Caenorhabditis elegans: one gene and its partners. The protein of the gene in region 1 interacts with the protein of each later gene in a pairwise test. Each region holds a gene or a part of one and is shown in the gene's direction. Other genes may lie near its edges.

Evidence for each region.
Region 2: the proteins of unc-23 (region 1) and F31E3.2 interact in a two-hybrid assay, tested with the Caenorhabditis elegans proteins (one large-scale study listed by BioGRID).
Region 3: the proteins of unc-23 (region 1) and hsp-25 interact in a two-hybrid assay, tested with the Caenorhabditis elegans proteins (one large-scale study listed by BioGRID).

The regions. Positions count from the first base shown.
Region 1 is NC_003283.11:8,934,447-8,940,991, forward strand, and holds unc-23 (BAG domain-containing protein), read left to right. Parts: upstream 1-1,912; 5' UTR 1,913-2,172; coding exon 2,173-2,184; intron 2,185-2,768; exon of another isoform or gene 2,769-2,947; coding exon of another isoform or gene 2,948-2,956; coding exon 2,957-3,706; intron 3,707-3,755; coding exon 3,756-3,904; intron 3,905-4,005; coding exon 4,006-4,276; intron 4,277-4,637; coding exon 4,638-4,832; 3' UTR 4,833-5,238; downstream 5,239-6,545. Other genes in the region: T19A5.3 (DUF148 domain-containing protein), read right to left, coding at 5,493-5,588, 5,675-6,291, 6,421-6,533.
Region 2 is NC_003281.10:6,971,882-6,979,059, forward strand, and holds F31E3.2 (Putative serine/threonine-protein kinase F31E3.2), read left to right. Parts: upstream 1-2,456; 5' UTR 2,457-2,580; coding exon 2,581-2,724; intron 2,725-3,818; coding exon 3,819-3,897; intron 3,898-4,174; coding exon 4,175-4,234; coding exon of another isoform or gene 4,235-4,260; exon of another isoform or gene 4,261-4,438; coding exon 4,439-4,536; intron 4,537-4,590; coding exon 4,591-4,746; intron 4,747-4,788; coding exon 4,789-4,975; intron 4,976-5,021; coding exon 5,022-5,313; intron 5,314-5,359; coding exon 5,360-5,420; intron 5,421-5,466; coding exon 5,467-5,715; 3' UTR 5,716-5,954; coding exon of another isoform or gene 5,955-5,990; 3' UTR 5,991-6,139; downstream 6,140-7,178. Other genes in the region: rfc-4 (Replication factor C subunit 4), read left to right, coding at 379-440, 487-565, 611-705, 754-814, 880-1,136, 1,184-1,316, 1,370-1,600, 1,648-1,734.
Region 3 is NC_003284.9:6,033,215-6,042,016, reverse strand, and holds hsp-25 (SHSP domain-containing protein), read left to right. Parts: upstream 1-2,372; 5' UTR 2,373-2,553; coding exon 2,554-2,591; intron 2,592-2,780; coding exon 2,781-2,923; intron 2,924-4,074; exon of another isoform or gene 4,075-4,157; intron 4,158-4,315; exon of another isoform or gene 4,316-4,322; coding exon 4,323-4,460; intron 4,461-6,242; coding exon 6,243-6,348; intron 6,349-6,913; coding exon 6,914-7,037; intron 7,038-7,159; coding exon 7,160-7,270; 3' UTR 7,271-7,554; downstream 7,555-8,802. Other genes in the region: ipp-5 (putative type I inositol 1,4,5-trisphosphate 5-phosphatase), read right to left, coding at 7,980-8,006, 8,739-8,802.

The DNA.
Region 1 (6,545 bases):
GGGGAAATCATGAGTCAGATTTCCGACACAACAAGGGAACAGATGACGTGACGCCTACTGTACAGATAATATGAAAAACATTGTTTTTTTTTATCGGAAGTACCTGGTTACTGTTCACTAGATTTTGATATCATTAAAGTCAATTTGTTGGTTTTTGGAATTAGTGACAAGTGAAAACTATTTTCATATAGGTCTTTTGAAAAAACATCCGGTTTCCGGATACACATTTTAAAACGATAGCAGAGAACAACTGATAACTAAGTTAGTTGCACATTATTTACGTTATAATTGATGAAATAGAATTTTCAAGGTTTATATTTCCTCGAAACTTTTTCTGAAGTTTTCCACGTGCTAATATACAACGGTAGATTTCTGTAAAAACCTAAAGTGAGTTTTCAAAATTAGGAGAACATTTGTGGCAAAAATTCGCGTAACTTCTTAAATTACTTATACAACTATAAATGTTACACTTTGATGCAAAACTTCAAAAAAAATCATATTATGATTTTAGGAGTGTTTTCATCCGTATTTTTGTCTGAAAGCACGCTTTTTCATTTCAAAAATCCTATTATGAAACAGTGAATAGAACATTCTCGTCCAACACAAAAAACCATCGTTTTGCACATTTATTTGCGCGGTACAAACACGGATAAGGCGTTAAACTAATTTAGTTTGTGGTTTTTCAAACAGAAAAAAGGCGAAAAGCACAGCAAGTAGCATCTTCAATGTTTGGACACCGACCCCACCCGTCCTATCATTCGGTTCCATTCATTCATCACATGTTCTTCGTCTTCTTCATCTTTTTCTTCTCCTTTTGTTTCTCTATCTTACAATTTGAAGTTTAACCGACGACTTGACCACACCCTTATATAATTGATTCATCACAGTGTCTTTTGCCGTATAAAATCAATTGACCATCTAGGGTCGACGGTTCTTTGTGGTTAGTCACCCGATAAAAAATACAGCAAAGAAACTCTTTCTGCGTTCAATTTCAATATTAGATTCAGGCATTCTTGCTGATAGTAGAATATTTCAAATTCTTTTTGATATTATCATTCCTTTTGGACCATTGTGTTCGTTGACCATTTCATGGAGATCTTATCCTTCTATCCTGTCTGGGCGTTTCCCCGGAAACACATAGAAACAAACTATGAAGATCTCTTGTGGAGGGATGAAAATTGTGGTTTTGTCTGATTTTTCTGTCTACTGATAAGAGTGACTAATAAATTATGGAAGATGTGATTAGCCTAGTTTTTTATATTCTCTAAATTAAATTTATTACATAAAAATTGTATACCGACCGTTTAGATGTCAAAATTTTGAAATCAAACTTAGGGATATATAACATATCTTTAGGCATATGCGCCTACCCCATTCTTGTCTGCCTAGGTGTCCACCTATTTTCTACATTTCTAACTTTTCGGTTCTGCACATTTCAGATTTTAGATTTCAACAATTCTTATTTCATCGTTAAATTGGCAGTCATTGACAAGAGGAAGATGTAGCTCAAATTTATGCTAGTCATGCAGGCGACGTGGGGTTCTCTAATACTTTAAAAAAATCGGAAAAATATTACGAAAAAATGATCGATATCAAAAAAAAATTTTCACTTTGAAAAGTAGACACAGAAATAAAAGGTGCAGCACAGCTTCGCAGTGAAAAATATATTATAGTTGCCAAAATTTATGTTTTTGGAAAAGCTGAAAAACAACAAAACACCTCGTAAAACAGTGCCTATCATTTTCATCTCTGAATCTTCGCGTTTCACTGATTGTCTAGATTCTCAAACCAATCTCTGCGTCTCGTTTCCATATACACTGTCTCCCATCATATTTCTTCTCGAAGACTCCCGAACTGCGGAGAACTGAATGGGCGTGGCCGGGCGCCCGCCATCAATTGTTTCGTAACTCTCTTTTCTTTGCCTCTTTTTTCCGAGAGAATAGGAGACTCAGACCGTTTGTGTCAAACCGCCACCAGTGACTGACTGTCAAAACTTTTTGTTTCGGTGTCTGTGTCGCTGCTGCTTTTCCCCTGCATTGCTTTCCCACCTCTTTCTCCTCCAGAAAAGGCGAACCGGTCCGAGTGTTCCGCGCATATTGAAAGCAAACGAGACATCGACCTTCTCACATCCCATATTGCCCCTATTTTACCCTACTTGACCTATTGCTAACAATGCCAGTCGTGGTAAGTTTCAATTTTTATCAGCTGCTTCATTCACGTACCAGACATTATTTGCTCTCGTAAATTTTCCTGATTAACACTTTTCTGCAAACAAAAGAACTGGTATATCAAAAGACTCAGACGCTGGTCTAACCTGGAGGTCTACAAAAAACTGGGTTATTGTGTTTCATAATTTTCTGTCTCACGGAGCCTCGGATTCTTCCAGAAAATTGAGTCTCATCTGGCACATTTTCGCAGAAAAATTATTTTATTTTGAGAAAAAAACATTACACTGTGCCACGAGAATTGTGTTGTTATCCTCTGTTCCCTTCAATAAAGCCCTGTCTCTAAAAGAAAGACAGCTGCTTAACGTGCCTGCGTCTAGGATTTTTTACACACTGATAACTCAACTATTACAATGAAAGAGAAAAAGAATATTCTGGACGTTTTTTGATGGGTGCGAAAATGGCCTTGAACATGCAAATCGTTTGCCCGACTTATCTCAACATTTCTATCGCTAATCCATCGAAATTGAAACGTTCCATTCGACCTGTCGATAATAGGACAACAGTTCGGAGGAGAGAAACATTTAGTAGTAGAGATGGAAATTCGAAAAATACAGTTTCGAAATCGATTTTCATTTGCCTCTGCTGAAATATGATTGAAAAACGAGAAAAAAGTGGGAGGAGTCACTCTTATCAAACAGAAACACAAGAGACACTAACCAACTCACTCATTCTTATCTTTTTTGATTCTAACTTTCATTTCTACCATCCTAATATTCAGCATGTTTCAGAACATACCAATCAAAATACTTGGTCAGAATCAATCACATAGTCGAAGTAACTCCTCGTCTTCTGTTGACAACGATCGAAATCAACCACCACAGCAGCCACCTCAACCGCAACCACAACAGCAATCTCAGCAACAATACCAGCAGGCTCCAAACGTGAATACCAATATGCATCATTCCAACGGATTCTCACCTAACTTCCCATCTCGTAGTCCTATTCCGGACTTTCCCAGTTTTTCATCTGGGTTCCCAAACGATTCTGAATGGTCTTCGAATTTCCCGTCGTTTCCAAATTTCCCAAGTGGATTCTCAAATGGAAGTTCTAATTTCCCTGATTTTCCAAGATTCGGAAGAGATGGAGGACTATCGCCAAACCCACCGATGCAAGGATACAGGAGAAGTCCAACACCAACATCAACTCAATCTCCAACTTCTACATTAAGACGCAACTCTCAGCAGAATCAAGCTCCTCCACAATATTCTCAGCAACAACCACAACAAGCTCAACAACGTCAGACAACTCCTCCGTCAACAAAAGCTTCATCTCGACCACCATCTCGTACTCGTGAACCAAAGGAACCTGAGGTACCCGAGAGACCAGCAGTTATTCCATTGCCATATGAGAAGAAGGAGAAACCACTGGAGAAGAAAGGTAGTCGTGATTCTGGAAAGGGTGATGAGAACCTTGAAGAGAACATTGCCAAGATCACGATCGGAAAGAATAATTGCGAGTTATGTCCGGAACAAGAAACGGTGAGTCGAATTGAATTATAATTACACGTTTTGACATTTGTTACTTCAGGACGGCGACCCATCTCCACTAACCTCCCCAATCACCGAAGGAAAGCCAAAGAGAGGAAAGAAACTTCAACGTAATCAAAGTGTTGTTGATTTCAATGCCAAGACAATTGTTACTTTGGATAAAATTGAATTACAAGTTGAGCAGTTGAGGTGAGCATTATATTAAATTTTATTGCTGATAAGGAAATGGTTTAGAAAAGTTTCGCAATATTCTTATCTGATAATCATTCAAATTATGTTTTTTTTTTCAGAAAAAAAGCTGCTGAACTCGAAATGGAAAAAGAGCAAATTCTTCGTTCTCTAGGAGAAATCAGTGTTCATAACTGCATGTTCAAACTGGAAGAATGTGATCGTGAAGAGATTGAAGCAATCACTGACCGATTGACAAAAAGAACAAAGACAGTTCAAGTTGTTGTCGAAACTCCACGAAATGAAGAACAGAAAAAAGCACTGGAAGATGCAACTTTGATGATCGATGAAGTCGGAGAAATGATGCATTCGAATATTGAAAAGGCTAAGCTGGTATGTTTTTTTTTCTTTTGAGGTTTCTTGAACCTGAGAAATTATTTAGACTATTTTAGAAATTGTGGCAAATTACTGAATTTTTTAGTTCAAGTAAATAAAAATCTACAACGAAATCTTGCAATTTTGTCATATGTAACAAAAGTTGAATTCCTGATCTTTTACTTAAAAACAGATAATGAAAACTAGAAAATCATTTCAAATTTTTTGAATTAAACCTCCTACATTTATGCGAATAATTATGCGAGTGAACCAATTTTGAGGAACAAACAATTAATAAACTTTTTTAAATTTCGAATATTCTCAGTCAGCTCAAAGAATTTTTTCCTTTATAAATTGATTATGAACTAATATTTTTCAGTGCCTACAAACCTACATGAACGCCTGTTCGTACGAAGAAACTGCTGGAGCCACCTGCCAAAACTTCTTGAAGATCATAATTCAGTGCGCTGCTGATGATCAGAAACGCATCAAGCGTCGTCTGGAAAATCTGATGTCTCAAATTGAGAATGCTGAGAGAACGAAAGCAGATTTGATGGATGATCAAAGCGAATAGAAATTGTGTAAATTGTGTATAGATACTCATGTTTTTTCTAGTAAGTATTGCCTAATTTTGACATGAATCTCTTTTGTCTCCAGCCCTTTTTTTAGAGTGTCTTTTGTGAATTTCTGTTGAAATCTTTGTAGATTTTTTTGCTGATTGATGTCTATTTAAATGTTTCTGTGATTTTTCATGAGTTTTCAGAGCCATAGAATTTTCATTCATAATTCTTCCATTCTTTTTCACTCGTTTTGTCATTCATTCATTCCTCCTACGGTTGTCCCTTTTCTGGAACTTGTCCCTCTTCGTTTCTCAAATTCAAAGCACAAGTAATTGTTCATTTTTATTTTATCATGTTTTTTTTTCTTCAAAATTTGTTTTACAACAATCTGAATAAATAAATAGTGGATGGCAAAAAAAACTGAGCAGAATCAAAAGAATGAACAGACAAAGAAAGAGTGTTCGCAAACAAATTCGAGTTGCTCGAAAAATGTGAGTTATCCCGTTTTGAGGTCGATCGAAATGCAGTGGAAATGCAGAAGAAGGAAGAAAAAAGTGGGGAATAAAACTATGAGAAGGGAATGAGTTAGGTAGTGAGACTCTGGTGAATTGAATTTTGTAAAATAAAAACTAAAAAATAAATTAGGGGAATTCAATGTGAAAGAGGAGAAGAAATTATTTTCCTGAAGTTTTGAAAAGATATTCAAGTTGTGGAGGAACTGTTGGCAAGAGATCAGGTGGTGGTTGGAAGTTCTTGGCGAATTTTACGAACTGAAACAAAATTGGCTTTTTTTTTTTGATTCATTCAATTCGTTTTTTTTTTTCGAAAATTTAAAGATTTTTTAAAATGTTTGTACCTGATCTTTGAATACATCCATAGCTCCAGCAGTATTAGCCCATCTTTGAAGTCTTTGAAGATTATCTAATCCAATTGTTCTATCAACATGACCCAACAATTTAGCCTGTGAATCTAGTTTTTGAGATCCGAGAGCCACTTCCAAAATATCAATGAAAGCTGCCTCTGGTGGAGTTCCGTTCTCAAAATGATCAATAACTTGGTTGAATCCTGTGTCGGCCTTGCTTAAAACACTCAAAAGAGCCGATGGTTTTACAGTTGTTCCAGTATTTTCAACTTGATCAACTTCTTGTCCACTGTATGGAGACTTCCCTGCTGCGGCACCTCCAAGACCAACAGCTGGAACTGGTGGTGGGGGAGCTCCGCCTGGGAATACTGGGGGTCCGTATCCGTCTCCAGTTGGTCCCTTGGAACGAGAGAGTGCCGATTCTCCAGTGAAAAATTCTTCCTCTGTTGGTCCGGCGGCTGCCGTATCTCCTCCGAAATCTGGATCAGGTCCCGATGGTGGTGATGGTGCAGCTCCTCCAAATGGAGATCCGCTTCCGAAGCCACCACCACCACCTCCGAATCCTCCTCCCCCACCTCCGAATCCACCGCCACCGCCTCCGCCTCCGAAGCCTGGAAACCGAATTTTTCGTTATTTTAAACTTAATTTATCAAGTAAAACTAGTGTTATCTTTGTATACTCATCCTGAAAAATTAATCTACTTTTTTCAAAAATATTTTTAACTTTAAAAAAGCACATACTTCCGAAGCCTCCAGCGCCTGCAAACTCTTTTGGTGGTGAAACTGGACGGAGACCCGAATTTTGAGGAATTACAACTGGCTCATCCTTGTCGATTGCAGCATTTGGTTGTTTTCTAAATCACATC
Region 2 (7,178 bases), on another chromosome or scaffold:
AATTCGACTAAACAGTGAGAACAGGAAAAACGCTGGGACTGAATGTTTGACCTCATTATAAATTCATAAAATTTAAATTTCCTAATCTGGATAAAAACAAAGATAAAAACAAAATAAACCAACAAAAAACCAACATGATTAGTCAGATGACCAGAAAACTCACGTTAATTTCACAAGGCCCAAAAAAATCTCTCCCCCTCTCGTTGCTGCCTGCACATCTAACTCCTAGCACGAAAATGTACCGTACACCATTTCAAACACTCTCGGCGGGAGTGTTGCATACTTTTTCTCTCTGGCAGTTTATTTTCAATAAATTCTTCATTTTTATATTGTATAATGTCTTTATTTTATGAAAAATTCATTAATTTAACAGAAACAATGGAAGAACCAATGGAAGTTGACAATAAAAGACCAAAGGTGCTCACCTGGACAGAAAAATAGTTAGTTTTTTGTTTTTCGATTTGCAAAGTAAATTCAAATTTTCAGTCGTCCAAAAACGCTAGACGATATTGCATACCAGGATGAAGTCGTCACAATGCTGAAAGGAGCGCTTCAAGGAAGAGACGTATTGCTTAAAAAATTATTCAAACTAATCGTTTTAATTTTTCAGTTACCACATCTTTTGTTCTATGGACCACCAGGTACTGGTAAGACGTCAGCAGCTCTTGCATTTTGCCGCCAACTCTTCCCAAAAAATATTTTCCAGTAAGTGAAATACTGGGTGATAATTTTTTCCAATAATTATATTTTCAGCGATAGGGTTCTTGATTTGAATGCATCGGACGAGCGTGGTATTGCAGTTGTTCGTCAAAAAGTAAGATTGCCACTGATTTTTAATTAATTAAGAATTCCATAATTATAAAAACGTTTCCTGTTTAGATTCAATCCTTCTCCAAGTCATCTTTGGGCCACAGCCATAGGGAAGATGTTCTCAAATTGAAAATTATCATACTTGATGAAGTTGATGCGATGACCCGAGAAGCACAAGCAGCAATGCGCAGAGTTATTGAAGATTTTTCCAAAACTACTCGCTTCATTCTCATCTGCAACTATGTTTCCCGATTGATTCCTCCAGTTGTGAGCCGTTGTGCCAAGTTCCGATTCAAATCACTTCCAGCCGAGATTCAAGTTCAAAGGTGAAATTTCAAAATTAAGTGTTTTTTATAACTTTCGGTGTTTTTAGATTGAGAACAATTTGTGATGCAGAAGGAACTCCCATGAGTGATGATGAACTGAAACAAGTTATGGAATATTCAGAAGGTGATTTGAGACGAGCTGTATGTACACTTCAGTCATTGGCTCCAATTTTGAAAAGTGTTAGTTGTTTTTTCTATAAATATTGTGTAAAAATAGTACTTTATATTTCCAGGGCGATGACAATGCTCGAAATTGCTATCTCCGTGGTTCTTCGGACAGTTTACTCATTTCAAACGTTTGCAAATCAATCCTGACTGCTGATGTTCCCCAAATAATTGCATTGACAAAGGATATCACAAAATCGTGCACTGGTGTTGCTTTCATTCGTCGTTGTTTCCAACAGTTGATGGATGAAGATGTTATCAATGACGAGAATATTGGAGTAATGGGGAAACTGGTTGCGGTTGGTGGAAGATGAATACATAAATAGAAATGAAAGTTCAATTTCAGACTTGCGAAAAGCGAATTTTGGATGGATGTGATTTGGAAAACAATCTCCTCGACTTTCTGCTCACTCTTCGTGAAACTATCCAATGATAAATTAACACAATACGGTTTCAATTTGCCCATTGATTTCTCAACTTCAAAATTCACGTGTACTATATATAAATTTTAACATTCTATAAACAATAGTTTTGTGCTCAAATTTCGACAAAACATTGAGATTATTATATTTTTTTGAAGGTACAATTCGGCTTAGGTTTTTTTTCAGTTGAATACAAAATATCGAATAGGATAGTTTGGAATAAATAACTACTAGTTCCCTCCCAACTATTTTGCTCTCCGCTCAGTTTTTCACCCTCTGTCGCCCATCGATTTTCGCTCCTTGAAGACTCGGCTCCCCTTCCATTTTCTAAGTAATCTCGCCCCATTGAGCAGTTTTCATTTTTGGTATGAAGCTGAAGAAGTGGAAGTATCCAATTTCAAGAGCTTTTTTGTCTCAAGCAATTTGTGTGAGAATTTGAATTGAGGCAATTTTGAATCCCATTTCATTGTGAATTTCTTTTCTACTATAGCTCTGCTTCATTTTCCATATGATTTCAATTGAAGCTTCCTGACTCTGTACTAATATTAGAGAAAGTGGGGTCAATTCGAAAGTCCACCGTCTGATCAGTACTCAAATTTGATCGAGTCAATGTGTCTCAGTGCTTATAATCCGTGTACCTGCTCCTGATCACACTTGCTCACTGTCTCTGTTTGCTCTTTTCCTGTATGTTTGTGTCCTTCTTCTTCTCCTCCTCCTGCTCCCAAAAATTCTTTCATCATTCCGCCACAACCACGGGACATTCCGTTTTCTTGTTAATCACTCCTACTGTCTGTTTTTCCAAAAAACTTTCCTCGCCATCACCGTCTGGCCGGCTTACAGCTGCTACAGCAGCAATAATGGGTAACGTGGCGACTAGAAAACGGCCCGGATGTCATCATCACATTGGAAGAAATGAGGAAAATCTAGACGACGATGAAGATGGACCAGCGAAGAAAAGATTAAGAATTGGAGAACCGCAGGCTGAAAATGAATATCAAAAGGTGACTGAGAACTGAAAAAACCTTGAAAGATCCACTTATTTTCTTTGTTTTAACTAAAAAATTATTCAAAAACTCAGACAAACCATATCATACTAACTCAGAGTAAAAAGCGGAGTTACATAATGGTAAAGCACACTAACCGCAGTTCGGTGCAAGTGTGGTTTTACTCGGAGTAACCACGCTTTACTATGCCTAGCTCATTCCTAGATCTGCCTAACTATGCCTAGCTCGGAATTGGTCTGATTGTACTTTGTCGATCTGATTTACTCTGAATAACTCTTCCTAACTATGTTTAGAGCTGCCTAACTATGACTTAATAGGAGTTAGTATGATATGGTTTGTCTGAGAAGTCATCATGATGATGCATCAGTCATTTCAAGGAAGGAAGTTTCCTCTCCAAACAGTGACTCTTCAGCTCCTTTTGAGTTCTGAAATAGGCGATATTTCCGAATTTATGGGGTTATTCAAGTAATGTAGCAAAATGTATTTAAATACATTTGTGACGTCACAAATGTATTTAAATACATGTTTTTTTTACTTGAATACATGTGTGACGTAATTTTTCTACACTTTTTAATTTTTTTTTTCCCGACACTACTTGAATAACCCCATAATTTTTGAGTCAGAAAATCAGTACCCGGTGTCGGCACGACAATTTTTTGTTAAAGGCAAAAAGGTGTGCGCCTTCAAAGGTTACTGTAGTTTCTAAAATTTTCTGCGCAGATTCTGTGAAATTATGATTTTTGAAGTCTTTCGATAAAAATATGGTTTTTTTTTCATTAAAAAATTGAATAAAACAGTAACAATAAATAAACTTTTACAAATCATATGAATCATGAGAAATACTATTTATGAAAAACACACCGTATATTTGGCCCAAAAATGTGGGCCATACTCATTTCGTGAAAAATTATCATCTGGTGTGCTTTGATGTTATAGCATGTTTTCTTAAAGAATTACACTCTAGTATCATTACTCAAAATGTTTAATTCTAAAGTCTACTTGATGTCTTCTTGATCTGATCATTACACTATCAAGAAGTATCAATTTTCTCTATACAAACATCAGACTACAGTAATCCCCCAATTCTTCAGCTCGCCTTCAAATCTCGTCTACAAAAACTGAAAAAATGTCGTCCTCACTTGAAAAGAAGAACGTATAAAGTTGAAGAAGGTACGATCTCCAGATTTGATTTCCACAATATTAAAAAAAAAGAGCATTGTTTACCTACATTTGTGAGTACATCTCAATGGCAGCCCACTTCTTAATCTTGATAATGATCCGTATTTCGGCGGGACACACTTAAGATCAATGACATCAGGTGATTTGTGATGTACTCTCTGGATTTGATAATACACAATAATGGTAATCTTGCTGATGTGAACTTCTGAAAGCCAACTTTGAAGAAAAAAAATTCTAGAGACAAAAAAAAAAGATTAAAAATTTGCAGCTGATCCCCGTCCACCAGTGCCAAGATTCATTGTAGACGATTATGGTGATTATGAAAAACGTATGTTTTGCTGTATCATGAGGTAGTCACGTGTTCCAGGAGGTTCCAGGAGGTCTTCTGGAACACGTGGCTATCACTCGAGAGGATAACGTTTTAAGATAAGTCACTGTAACATGATATTGAAGCCACACTCCCAAAAATCAAAGTTTCCATTTCCGAGGGTTTTAACAGCTTCCTAGAGTAACTGGCCTCCCAATTTTTCAGCAGAACCCACACGAAAAGAGTTCGCAATTCCCTGGTTCGAGCATCTCTTCCTACCTGAATTTCCAACTCGAAGTGTTATCAACGAGAAAAGTTTTGTGGTAGGAACTATTTTCATTCACTTATTTTTTTTTCAAAATGAAATATAATTTCAGTTAGAAAGACAGCTTGGTCGTGGTTCATTTGGTGTTGTTTATTGTGCCAGTGCAATTCATGATTCAGAGAGGAAGTTTGCTATCAAAATGCAAGAAAAAAGGGAGATCATTTCAAAACGAGCCGTTTTACAGGTCAAACGAGAAGCTAGTATACAGGTTTGCCAGCAAGACGTTACATCCGATCATTCACATTTTCAGCGTCTTCTTCCTTCTCATCCATTCATCGCCAGAACTTATTCTACGTGGCAGACACGTACTCATCTCTATTCTTTACTACAGTACCCAACTGGTTCAACTGGTGACTTGTTTTCAGTATGGAGGCAACGGGGATCTCTTTCAGAAGCTGCTATTAGGTTGATTGGAGCAGAGTTAGCATCAGCTATTGGTAATATAATAACGGTTATGTAAGAAATTCGGTGTTTTATTTTCAGATTTCCTACACCAGAATGACGTGATCTATCGAGATGTAAAACTGGAAAATGTAGTTCTAGATCAATGGGGTCACGCCTTGCTAATTGATTTTGGTTTGGCAAAAAAGCTGAAACAAGGTTCTAGTACCGGAACAATATGTGGAACATTACAATACATGTCACCTGACGTGGCATCTGGTGGAACATATTCTCATTATGTTGATTGGTGGTCATTAGGTGTACTCTTGCATATTTTATTAACTGGAATATATCCATATCCAAATTCAGAAGCCACACATCATGCTAATTTAAAGTAAGTTCACATCACAGATTTTAGAATAATCTCTTATGCTTTTCAGATTCATTGACTACAGTACTCCTATAGGATGTTCACGTGAATTCGCCAACCTTATGGATAGAGTGAGTTCAGAAACTCGGAAAAAAACGTTAATATCATTAGTTTCAGATGTTAGCAGTTTCCATAACCCATCGTTTATGCTCATTCACTGTTCTTCACGCCCATCCATTTTTCCGATCCATTGACTTTTCGAAATTGGAACAAAAAGATTACACACCTGCAGCGGAAATTGGTAACGCTGAATATGATACTTATCACAAAAGTGAGGACGCGTTGGATGATGCTTTGTTCAAGGAAAATTATGATGTGAGTTGCGGAAGAAATGTAATTTTTGCAGTATTGCCGGTTTTTTGGTAATCTGCCAAATTATTGAAAAATTGAACTTTTTGAGAAACTCGGTGCATTCTTGCATGTTTAAATTCTACAATTTTTGAATATTTATTCATCAGTTAAATATAAAACTGTGAAAATATTTTTTCGATCGACTTCCAATATTATGAAAGGTGAAAACTGAGTAATTGCCATTTTGACAGCAAATTAAAATTTCACTATCTGACCTCAAAAACTAAATATGCAAATCAAATATTATATTTCAGTTCGACCGTTTTGACTATTTCAATGATCGATTCTAATGTGATGCATATCGATTTGAGGGTTGGAATGAAAACGAGCTCTTTTTATTGCTCCGTCACTCTCTTTTACTCTGTGATAAAATACCCTGTTACCATCATCATCAATTCACTTTTCTGTATGATACGGGCGCTAATAAATATTTTACAACATGCTTGATTTCCCACAGATTTCGTTTAAACATATATCATAACCATCAAATGGGATGTTCTACATGTAGAACAAATTATACTTTCTTCCAATAAATACAGAATTAAAAATTTCCTAAATAAATATGAACTGTTTTGGGATTTTTTACACTTATTTTCAAGGCTGCGATAAGAACGGTCAAACTTTCATAAAAAATTGAAATATCTGGAAAAGTGGAGATACAAGCAGTACTCAGTAATACCCTGAAGCTTATTTTATTTCCTAGTTAGGTGTTAAATATTTCTTAAGCTAAGAATTTCGTAAATCGATTTATTTATAAATCTAGCTATGTAAACATAGTCATGGAGATATGCCTACATTCCTACGCATTCGATGCAGCTGAGGGTTTGGCAGATTTCCTTTAACTTGATGATCGTAACCTTTTCAACTCCTTCGCAAAAAAATAGGGTAACCGTAAATGCATAAATCTACCCTTATCTAGGTACCATCAAATAGCTCACGCATAAGATAGGAATCTGACAATAGTATGAAAACATTACTGAGAAGCTTACTTTCGGTCTTCAGTGTAGAAACATAAATACCTTCCTTTGGGCCGTCTACGTCTAATTTGTCGTTAGGCCGTTACTCGGTATTCAAAACGAGTTACACCCACGGTAGGCACGCAGATGGGCCTTTCCGTAACTGAGTGGAAGATACTCGATTTAGCACTTAATTTACTGTATATTTTCTGATTCAAATTCTAGACCACTATGTATTTCTTCAACTCATCAATCATTCCCCGCTTCTCACTTTAAAAAAAAAATAATAATAACAATATGGTTGAGTTGACCCAAAGCCGTAACAACAACGGTCATTTCCATCGGCTGGCTGTGTGGTCGAGGGAAGGATCCATTACAATCGCAATAAATGCGGATTCAAAGCGCAAAATCCCTGCGTCTCCCTTCAATTGTTCAATGTCTAATAGTTCTTCTGGCAGATGATACGTCCTCACAACATCTGGCCTTTCCTTCCTTCCACTGCTACAAACACACATAGCAAAG
Region 3 (8,802 bases), on another chromosome or scaffold:
ACCACTACGCGGACATTCAATTGGTGTTTCATGTTCCGTGGAAAACTTGTACGTTTTGCCACCTTTACTAGTTTTAAATCTGCATGTTTCTCTAGACCTGGACATCTAAAAACAAAAATAGTTGAAACTCAAATTGTGTCAAAATGAACAAATTTTGAAATAATATTTTTCAAAAATACACATAAACTTTTTTATGGCGGTTCAAAATTTCAAGAAAAATTACCCAATTTTAGCTAAAGCTTTTATTTTGCCAGCCTTTTTGGGCCACAGTCGTCGAATCAGTTTCTTTTGAATTATCATTGTTTATTGCGCATTTTGGCATTTTTAATTTTATAGGTATCCAAAAACGACAAAAATGACTAACATTCAATGTTAAATGACTAAAAAAAAGAATTAGCTCTAATTATGTGATTTTTTTTCCCAATTTTCAAACTGCCATAAAACTTTTTCGAAAAAATATGGAGCACTCTCATTACAAAATTTATCGACCAAGACACATTTTGAATCAATACAAATAGAAAATCAAGGTTGATACCGTTTTTTTGTGGCGTACCGAAATCTTGTTGACAATATTCTAAGCTTTAGCTGAAAATAAACCGTTCTTTTTCCAAAACTCACTATCAGCCCGAAAGCGATTCTCCACTTTTAATTAGTGAGAAAAAAGTTACCCTATCAACTTTGTTCTAACAACTTCCTTATTAACACATCCCCTACGCTTCTCTGCTTATCATCCTTCTCTAACGATCAAATGTGCATGATCATTAAAATGTATCTCTCCATTAAATCAAAACGATAAGAACGCCGTCTTCTCCATTTTCGTGACCGGCCATTATCATTTCCACCCAGTCAGCCGCATTATGTGTACATCTTCATTTCGCGCGCTTTTCCCAAACATTTTCCCAAACATCTGCGCGCGTTCACTTTGAAGAAATCAACAAAAATTGATTGAATACAGCTGTGGTGTTACAGCAAACGGGGGGGGGGGGGGCAACAAACCGAGGTCCAAGATGCTTTTCGCCGTTGGCAATCGGGGGGGGGGGGTACCTCTAATTTTTTGTCAGCTGGCTGGCTGGCAGCGTGATATCCTCTTACCCCTTGGCCAGAATTTCTCTGCTCCTCATCTACACCCCCTCGAGCCTATCAACACCCACATAAACTAAACAACAAATATTGCAGTTCAGGACAGTGAACCCTCCTTAGTGCTCATACTTAGTGCAATGATGTTAGCATACACACACATATGTGCGTGTCTCCGTCTTATATTCTTATTCTCTAGCGATTTCAGTCACTCGTCCTCCACTATTTAATTGAGAGCTCATATTTTCCGTTTGTTCAGTATCTTGTTCTCAATTCAAATTCGCTTGACATTTATACCCTCTTCCCATTTCAACTAATTCATTTATCCAAAATTCTTATGACGTCACTAAAGTATCAAGAGAATGTAATCTACTTATAATTCTTCGTGCAGTTTAAAAATGTTAATCATCATCTCGTAATAGTTATTTTTGATTTATTATCTCCTTCTTATCTCTACTACAAAGCACGTTTATAAAACATGTCTTACTAAGTAAGAAAGGGTTTGAAGATTTCACCGGACTACGAGACATGTATCATTTGAAAGCCCCTGAATTGGCCCAATATGAACTCTAAGCTACAAATTTTCAGAAATCTCATAGATGCTCACAGCAGCATGGCTCACCATCGGTGCTCTGGGGACATGTGTGGTATGGTAGCAGGCAGAAATTATGTTTTTGTCAATACACACTTTTGTAATATCATAAAAAGCTCGGAAATTTTCTGATTTTTATTCAAAAATTATTTTTATTTGTATATTGACAAAAAGGTTTTTTTTTCAAAAAAATCCCACACGATTCATACAATAACAAAAATAATACACTCTAGCCAAAAACAATTTTTCTATCTGATACCACCATCACACCTGTCCTGAGAGCACCGATAATGCGCTACTTATGGTACTCTGATCATCTTTAAGCTCACCGCAAGATTAGTTCTGAAACATTGCAGCTCAACGTTAATTTGTTCATAATTTTTCAATACGGGCTTCCAAATTAAACATGCCTTGTTTAAAAGTCCGGAGGCACTTTCAGACCTTTTTATAGTTAGGGAATTAGTATGGACAAACTGTTGAAGTCTTGTACATATTTATACATATGAAAAAAATTTTGAGATGATTTAGTGTTTTTCATTTTTCAGTTTTCGACATATGTAGTTGCTTAATGTTTCAAGATACTTTCAAATTTCTAAAAAAAAAACGCGAACATTGCTCAACTCACGTGTTGTCAAAAACTATTTATTTTTCAAATAAAAAACTACTGTTGGTTGGAAGGAAAGCATTTGTCGATCATCTAGTCGGAAGAAAGCATTTTCCGATAATTCAGAACTTTGGAATGTGCTTCGACAACGATGAAAATGCTTTTTGCCTTTCCGATATTTTTCCCCGTGCTTTTTTCACAAGGCGTACAAAGACGAAAAAGCATCAATGGTGGTTAGAGCCAAATCATAACAAAAAAAGTTTCATTTTATATTTCCATCATGCCCACGTACACTCGAACTTACTCCTATAGTAAAAGGTATGGTCCATTTTTCCGATTTCGAATTCCCACTTCACACTTTTCAATGACGTTGTTAAGTTTAAAATTTTCAAATCGCAGTTTTACGGTTTTGTTTGCGTTTTCATAACGCATCATAACTTTCATATCATTTTTATCTACCTCTATCGAAAATGTATAAAAAGTTTGACTATTCGCACAATTTTGCAGAGAAATGTCGGAACGCCGTATCGACGTAAACCGTTCCAACTACTCGGTCATTGACAATGAATTTGGAAATATGCGTGATCGTTTTGAGCAAGAGATGCGTCGTGTTGAGGAGGAGATGAAACGTCTTCGCAGTGAATTTGAAGGTTGGTTTTTTAAATTTATTTTAAACTAAATATTTTTTTCTAATTGTGGAAATCTACTTTTAAGTTAAATATGTAGTCGTCAATTTTTTCCCGTATTTTACAATTAGATATATTTTTCAGCACTTTTTAAAAATGCAACTAGTTAGAACATTAGATTTGATTAGTTTAAAACCAGTTCTCATTACAGTTGAAAAGCTGTATGAAAAGGTTCAAAAATAATCTGATGGGTCAATTTTCCCAACATCTGCCAGAAACTTTCAGGCTAATTGTTCATAATTTCAACCGATTGTAAAAGAACTCGTACTCCTCAACCTATAAAAAACAAATATAGCTAATTTTGTTTTATCAATTGTTTTTCTAATATTAATTTTTTATGAAAAACATCTGACCAAGATTTTGAGCAACATAATAGACAAGATGTTATAGCCAAAAAATTTTCTCAAAAAAGTTGAAGTTTCCGCCTAACATATTTTTTAAAAAGTGTGAGTTCCCAGCTAATCCTTTTTAGAGCAATACAATAATCCCTCCACTACCTTTTTCAAAAAATTTGAGTTTTTCTCCAAAAAATATTTTTCTTAAAATTAGATTTTTCCGCCAAGTTTTACCTAACTCTTTCAAAACTATTTCAGTTTTTAATTTTCAAAAAATTGAAATTTTTAAGTGGAATTCAGTTTCAAATAGGTGTTCTCCATTTTTTGGAATGTTATAAACCCCCGAACTTGTCCAAGCGAGACAACTCACATTCATCCTGTGTTCTTGTGTGTTTCGATGTATTTCGTCACCACATTCCACTTATTTTTCTTTTGTTGTTATGTTTCTCAGTTGGCACGTCGAACTTGGCAAAAAAAAACCTGAGAGCGACAGCTGATGTTTGTTCATTCGTTTTTGAGATTATAAGTAGAGCATACAAAATGAGCACTTTGAAGAATAATGTACCAGGATGATCCGGAAAGTAGATTTAAGAACCAATACTTTCGATTGAAAATTGCGCTACACAGCATTATAGATTTTTGTGTAATAATTTAAGCTTTCTCTTCAATTTCACAAACCCATATTTTACAAAAAAAGTTGTTTTCGAAAACATTCCTGCCTCTTATTTTGGAGAAAAAAGGCCTCTTGACAATATTTTGAGAAAAAGCTGAGAAGAACACAAAGAAAAGAGGACAACGTCATTTTCCGGACCCTCACTGACCAAATTTCATTTCGCGGTGCCTAATGCACTGGAACTGCGCCAGTGACAGCATTCACCTTAACTTTCTTCGAAATTTGTCATTTTCGTCTTCAAATCTCTTGCCGAAATATTAGTGCGTTATCCCCCCGACTACGTCAATTAGTTCAACACTTTAAAAGCAAGGTCACCTTGCGTTTGGAGACAGGGTGATGAGGTTCATGATTGCAGGCTATCGTCCAAACGGAGGCCCACCGGCTGCCATCTCCAATCAGCCGTACAACGCCTACTCGAACACTTCTTCTCACCACGAGACTTCGAACCGTACTGGTGGATTCGGATCTCCACTTCCACCACCATCTTTCCACGGTTAGTTTGTACACAGTTATTTGAGATAGAAAAAAAATTTGCTGAAAGGTTTCAAAGAAAAAAAAACTTCCCAACTTTCCACAACACAACAGCATTTTTTTGGTATGCTGAAAACTGCTCCTTCTAGCATGATAATCCAATTCTTGAATTAAAAATTATACATAGTAAACGTGTAGAATAATATTTGGTCAATTTTGAACAAGATTTTTATTTATTTAGAAAGTTCGAGAAAAACCAGAAATAGTGCCCGAAAGCTGCCCTTATGTCGTTAAATTTTTTTCGGCAAACGACAATTTTCAGACACTATTTAAAATATTATTTGGAACTTTCTACAAACATATATATATATATATATATATATTTAATATTGAGCTTTTTTTCCTACATTCGTATATTTATTTTAATTTTAAAAAATGGATATTCATATTTTTTGAAAGATTTTCTGCAAAGCCCTTATGAACACCTCCAATCCCATTGTTTCACAGCGCTAGAAAAAAACCCAAATGGATGGTTGCAAAATGAAGAAATTTTCAGTGGCTGCATGCCTATGTGTGCTTAGCGTGGGGGCACTTCTTCATCCTCCTTTTCCCTCTCTTCCTTCCTTTTTTTGTCGTCGTGTTCCAATAACTGGCCATGCAAAAAAACATGTTTTCTAAGACTCGTTTCTTGTTCTTGATGGCTTTTCAAAACAGGATTTCTTGAATCGGTATGAAAGTCAAACGGAGGATTCGTCATATTTTGGCGATAACGATTCGGAAAATTTTCGAATTTTAGGACGGGAGGGAGAAAGGAAATAGCAAAGGGACGAATAACGCATCATTCAGCGTATGAAATTATCTGCAGCCGGCATCAATTTTGAATTTTCACTCACTCCGTTTCATTTTCATCCATCCATTCGTCATTTTAACTCTTTCCCTTACTATTATTCGCCCATCATCAATCAGAGTAAAACTCAGAATGGGCATGATATGAGCCGGCCAACTCACAAACTCTTTTTGTCAGTTTGGTTTGACACAGAAAACAAGGACAAACTAAGAGCATACTTGTAGAAAAGTAATGTGTCGTTGGAAATTCCCAATTGCACAATTGAGACGGGCTCACCAGATTTTTTTTTCGTCAAAAATATAGTTTTTTTTTCTGTTTCGTAGTGACCTTTTCATGCAGATTTCAACTTTTTAATATCAAAAGTGGGATTTCGCAAAAAAATAACTAAATCTCTAAAATGTTTTAGACATTTTAAAGATTTTCCTAAATGCCTAGTTTAAGTTAAAATGACAAATTTTTGAAAACAATTAGAGCTTTCCTGCAAATTTGAAGCCTTTAAATTATTGAATAAAAATATTTAAATCTATATTAAAAATTCACACCATAAGAAAAATTTTAAAAAATTTGCCCGGAGGTTTTTGTGCATATTCCTCATCTACCAATGTTTATGTTTTCATATTAGGTTTTTTTTCTTTTGACCAATTTTGCTTATTTATCGATGGTTCCCAACAACACTACGTCGGTATTAAATTTCAGCGCAACATTTTTTTCTTTTTTGCCTTTCTGCGGGTTTCTGTGAATATGTTCTTTTTGTTGTGAACTCGCAAAATATATTCAAAACCAAATTATTACACAGTAGTTTTATGCACTCAGCACATCCTGAGAGGTCGCGTAGGCAGCCGCATAGCAACATTTCGGCAACAACACTGCAACCTCGGCGACGAGTTTTGCTCTATTTTCTATTGTTGTGCTACGTCGCATTCGCGTTTTTCATATTATTCACTTTTTTTGTTGCAGGACCCAGCGACTTGATGGCTCATCGTCCAACCTACGATCCATACTTGGACAACTTGAAGAGCCCACTCATCAAGGATGAAAGTGATGGAAAGACTCTTCGTCTCAGGTACTTTTTTGAGGCATTTTCAACTCTTAGATTAAGTTAAAAGATTCAAATTTTATTCGAAAAATATTAAAAATATAATTTTAATTCTGTATTTACCGGCCTCAAACTATTCAAAATAACGAACTCAAATTTTATAAATATTCTGAAAATTATCTAAATGTTTCCGATTTTTCAAAACTTTCAGACAAAGTAGTGAAAAATCTCCAAAAGTTAAAATCTTTGAATTTTTGTGATGTTCAAATAACTCGTCCAAGTTCAAAGCCAAACAATGTATGAATGAAAGTATTGAGGAAAAAAATCGCCTTAACTTTTTCAAAAATCAATTTCCAAAGTTGAAAAAATATTTTCAAAGTTATTTTTTTAAATTATACATAAAAATTTTACTCTTATTCCAAGCATGAATATCAATCACATTTCATTTTGGTTAGCTCTAAATTCAACAAACTCATAAAATTGAAATTTCGAGTCAAAAAAATCTGTACCATAACCGAAAAATTGATAAAACTTATTTTTTACCAGTCAAGAGAAAAACTGAATTTTTTATTTAACAAAACTGAAATTCCAGATTTGACGTAGCTAACTACAAGCCAGAGGAGGTTACCGTCAAGACTATTGACAACCGTCTTCTTGTCCACGCCAAACACGAGGAGAAGACCCCACAACGCACCGTTTTCAGAGAGTACAACCAGGTGGGTGTTTTTTATTTTTATTTTAGAATTCAAACAGTTCTCTTGGGGCTAAAAATATGGAGCGAGGCCCCAAGGTGTCACTCTTCATTCAGTTGCATTAATCTATACAATCAAATTTCCAGGAATTCCTTCTTCCAAGAGGCACCAACCCAGAACAAATCTCATCGACTCTTTCGACTGATGGCGTGCTCACTGTCGAGGCTCCACTCCCACAATTGGCAATCCAGCAATGAAACCAAAAATATCGCCGCCTGCTTCCTCACCAACCCGAATAACGCAACAAAAACTTTACATTTTTCTAATAAATCAACTTTTTCTTGTAGTGTAAATCATTAAAACTTGTAGACTCAACCATAATCCTTTCTTTAAACATGTTTACGATTCATTTTCCAATTCAATCCGCTTCATTTTTCAATACATTTAATACCTACAAATCTTATTGGTTGTTCATCAATTTTCTGGAGTAAATGTTCATCTTTTCATTAAATCTATAATAAGATCGCAATTTTATCAAATGATTCGTTTTAACAATTGATTGATACTGATGGAAAGTGTCAGGCAAAGCAAAAAGTGTATAAGACTAGCAATACATCACTGAAAATGGAGAGAAAAAGAAACAAAAAATCGATTATGATAAAAATTGTTTTAAAAAGTTAAAGAGTTCCCCGTGCATTATATGAAAATAAAAAGAAAAAAGAAAAGAAACACGTTTCTGATCATTCAATGAAAAAATAAATTTTCTAGCGGAAAAAAGCGAACTGGGAAAAAATGGAATTTTGATAGAGTTTGAAAATTGATAGTAACAACGAGAACAAAAAGTAGGTATTCGAAACTCAGAGTTCGCGCAAGCCAATTTGAAAATGTTTATCCGTAGCTTCGAGATGAAGAAAAAAAAAAAGAAAAATGGAGGCTGGCCAAAATGAGGGAAAATGGAAAACCATGTCAGATGTTGAATGTTAGCATGACCGGCTGAAAAAATAATAATTCAAATTTTTTTGTTGATTAAAGAGTTTTAGAATTCAAAAGATTATTTAAAATAAAAACTAAAACGAGGTCTTAGTGTAGTTTTTTTTTAACATATTAATCCAATGTAATCATCATAAAGCTATTCAAAATTATATTTAAAACATGTTTTTTTTTGATATTCAAGTATTCAGGAAAGTTGTTTTCAATTTGAACACAAGTTAACTTTTATTTTGTAATTCTGAATAATTCTTTGAAAAAGTTTAAAAATAGTATTATTTAATGCTGTTCAAGCTATTTTGATATACTGTTTAAAAAAAAATTTCAAATTTTTTAAATAAAGTTTTTTTAAGGAATTATTTTTATAGCAACAACAAGTTGTTGAAAATAGTCTGAATATAATATCAAATTAAATTCACTCGAATTCTTAATAAAAATTTGACATGAATTTTCCCATTTCTTTTTCACAGCTTCCAGTCAACGTTTTCTAGTCAACTAGTCAACGACAAACTGACAAATCTTGAATAAAAATGAGTTAATTTGAGAAGTTTCAATCATTTGTGAAGATTTTCAAAACCTTTTCAAAGCATTTTTTTTAATTATAAAATCTGAGTTAAAAAAAAACCAAAAAATCTGTTAAAAAAAGATATTTGTCTCTCACTACATAAAACTACACTAAATTATGTCATTGTTAAATATAGTATTTTAATAAAAATATTCCAAAAATTAGAATATTACCTTATGATCTCCAGTACAAGTTTCCATTCCAAATGACCTATACTGAGGCTCTCCTTCTTCCACC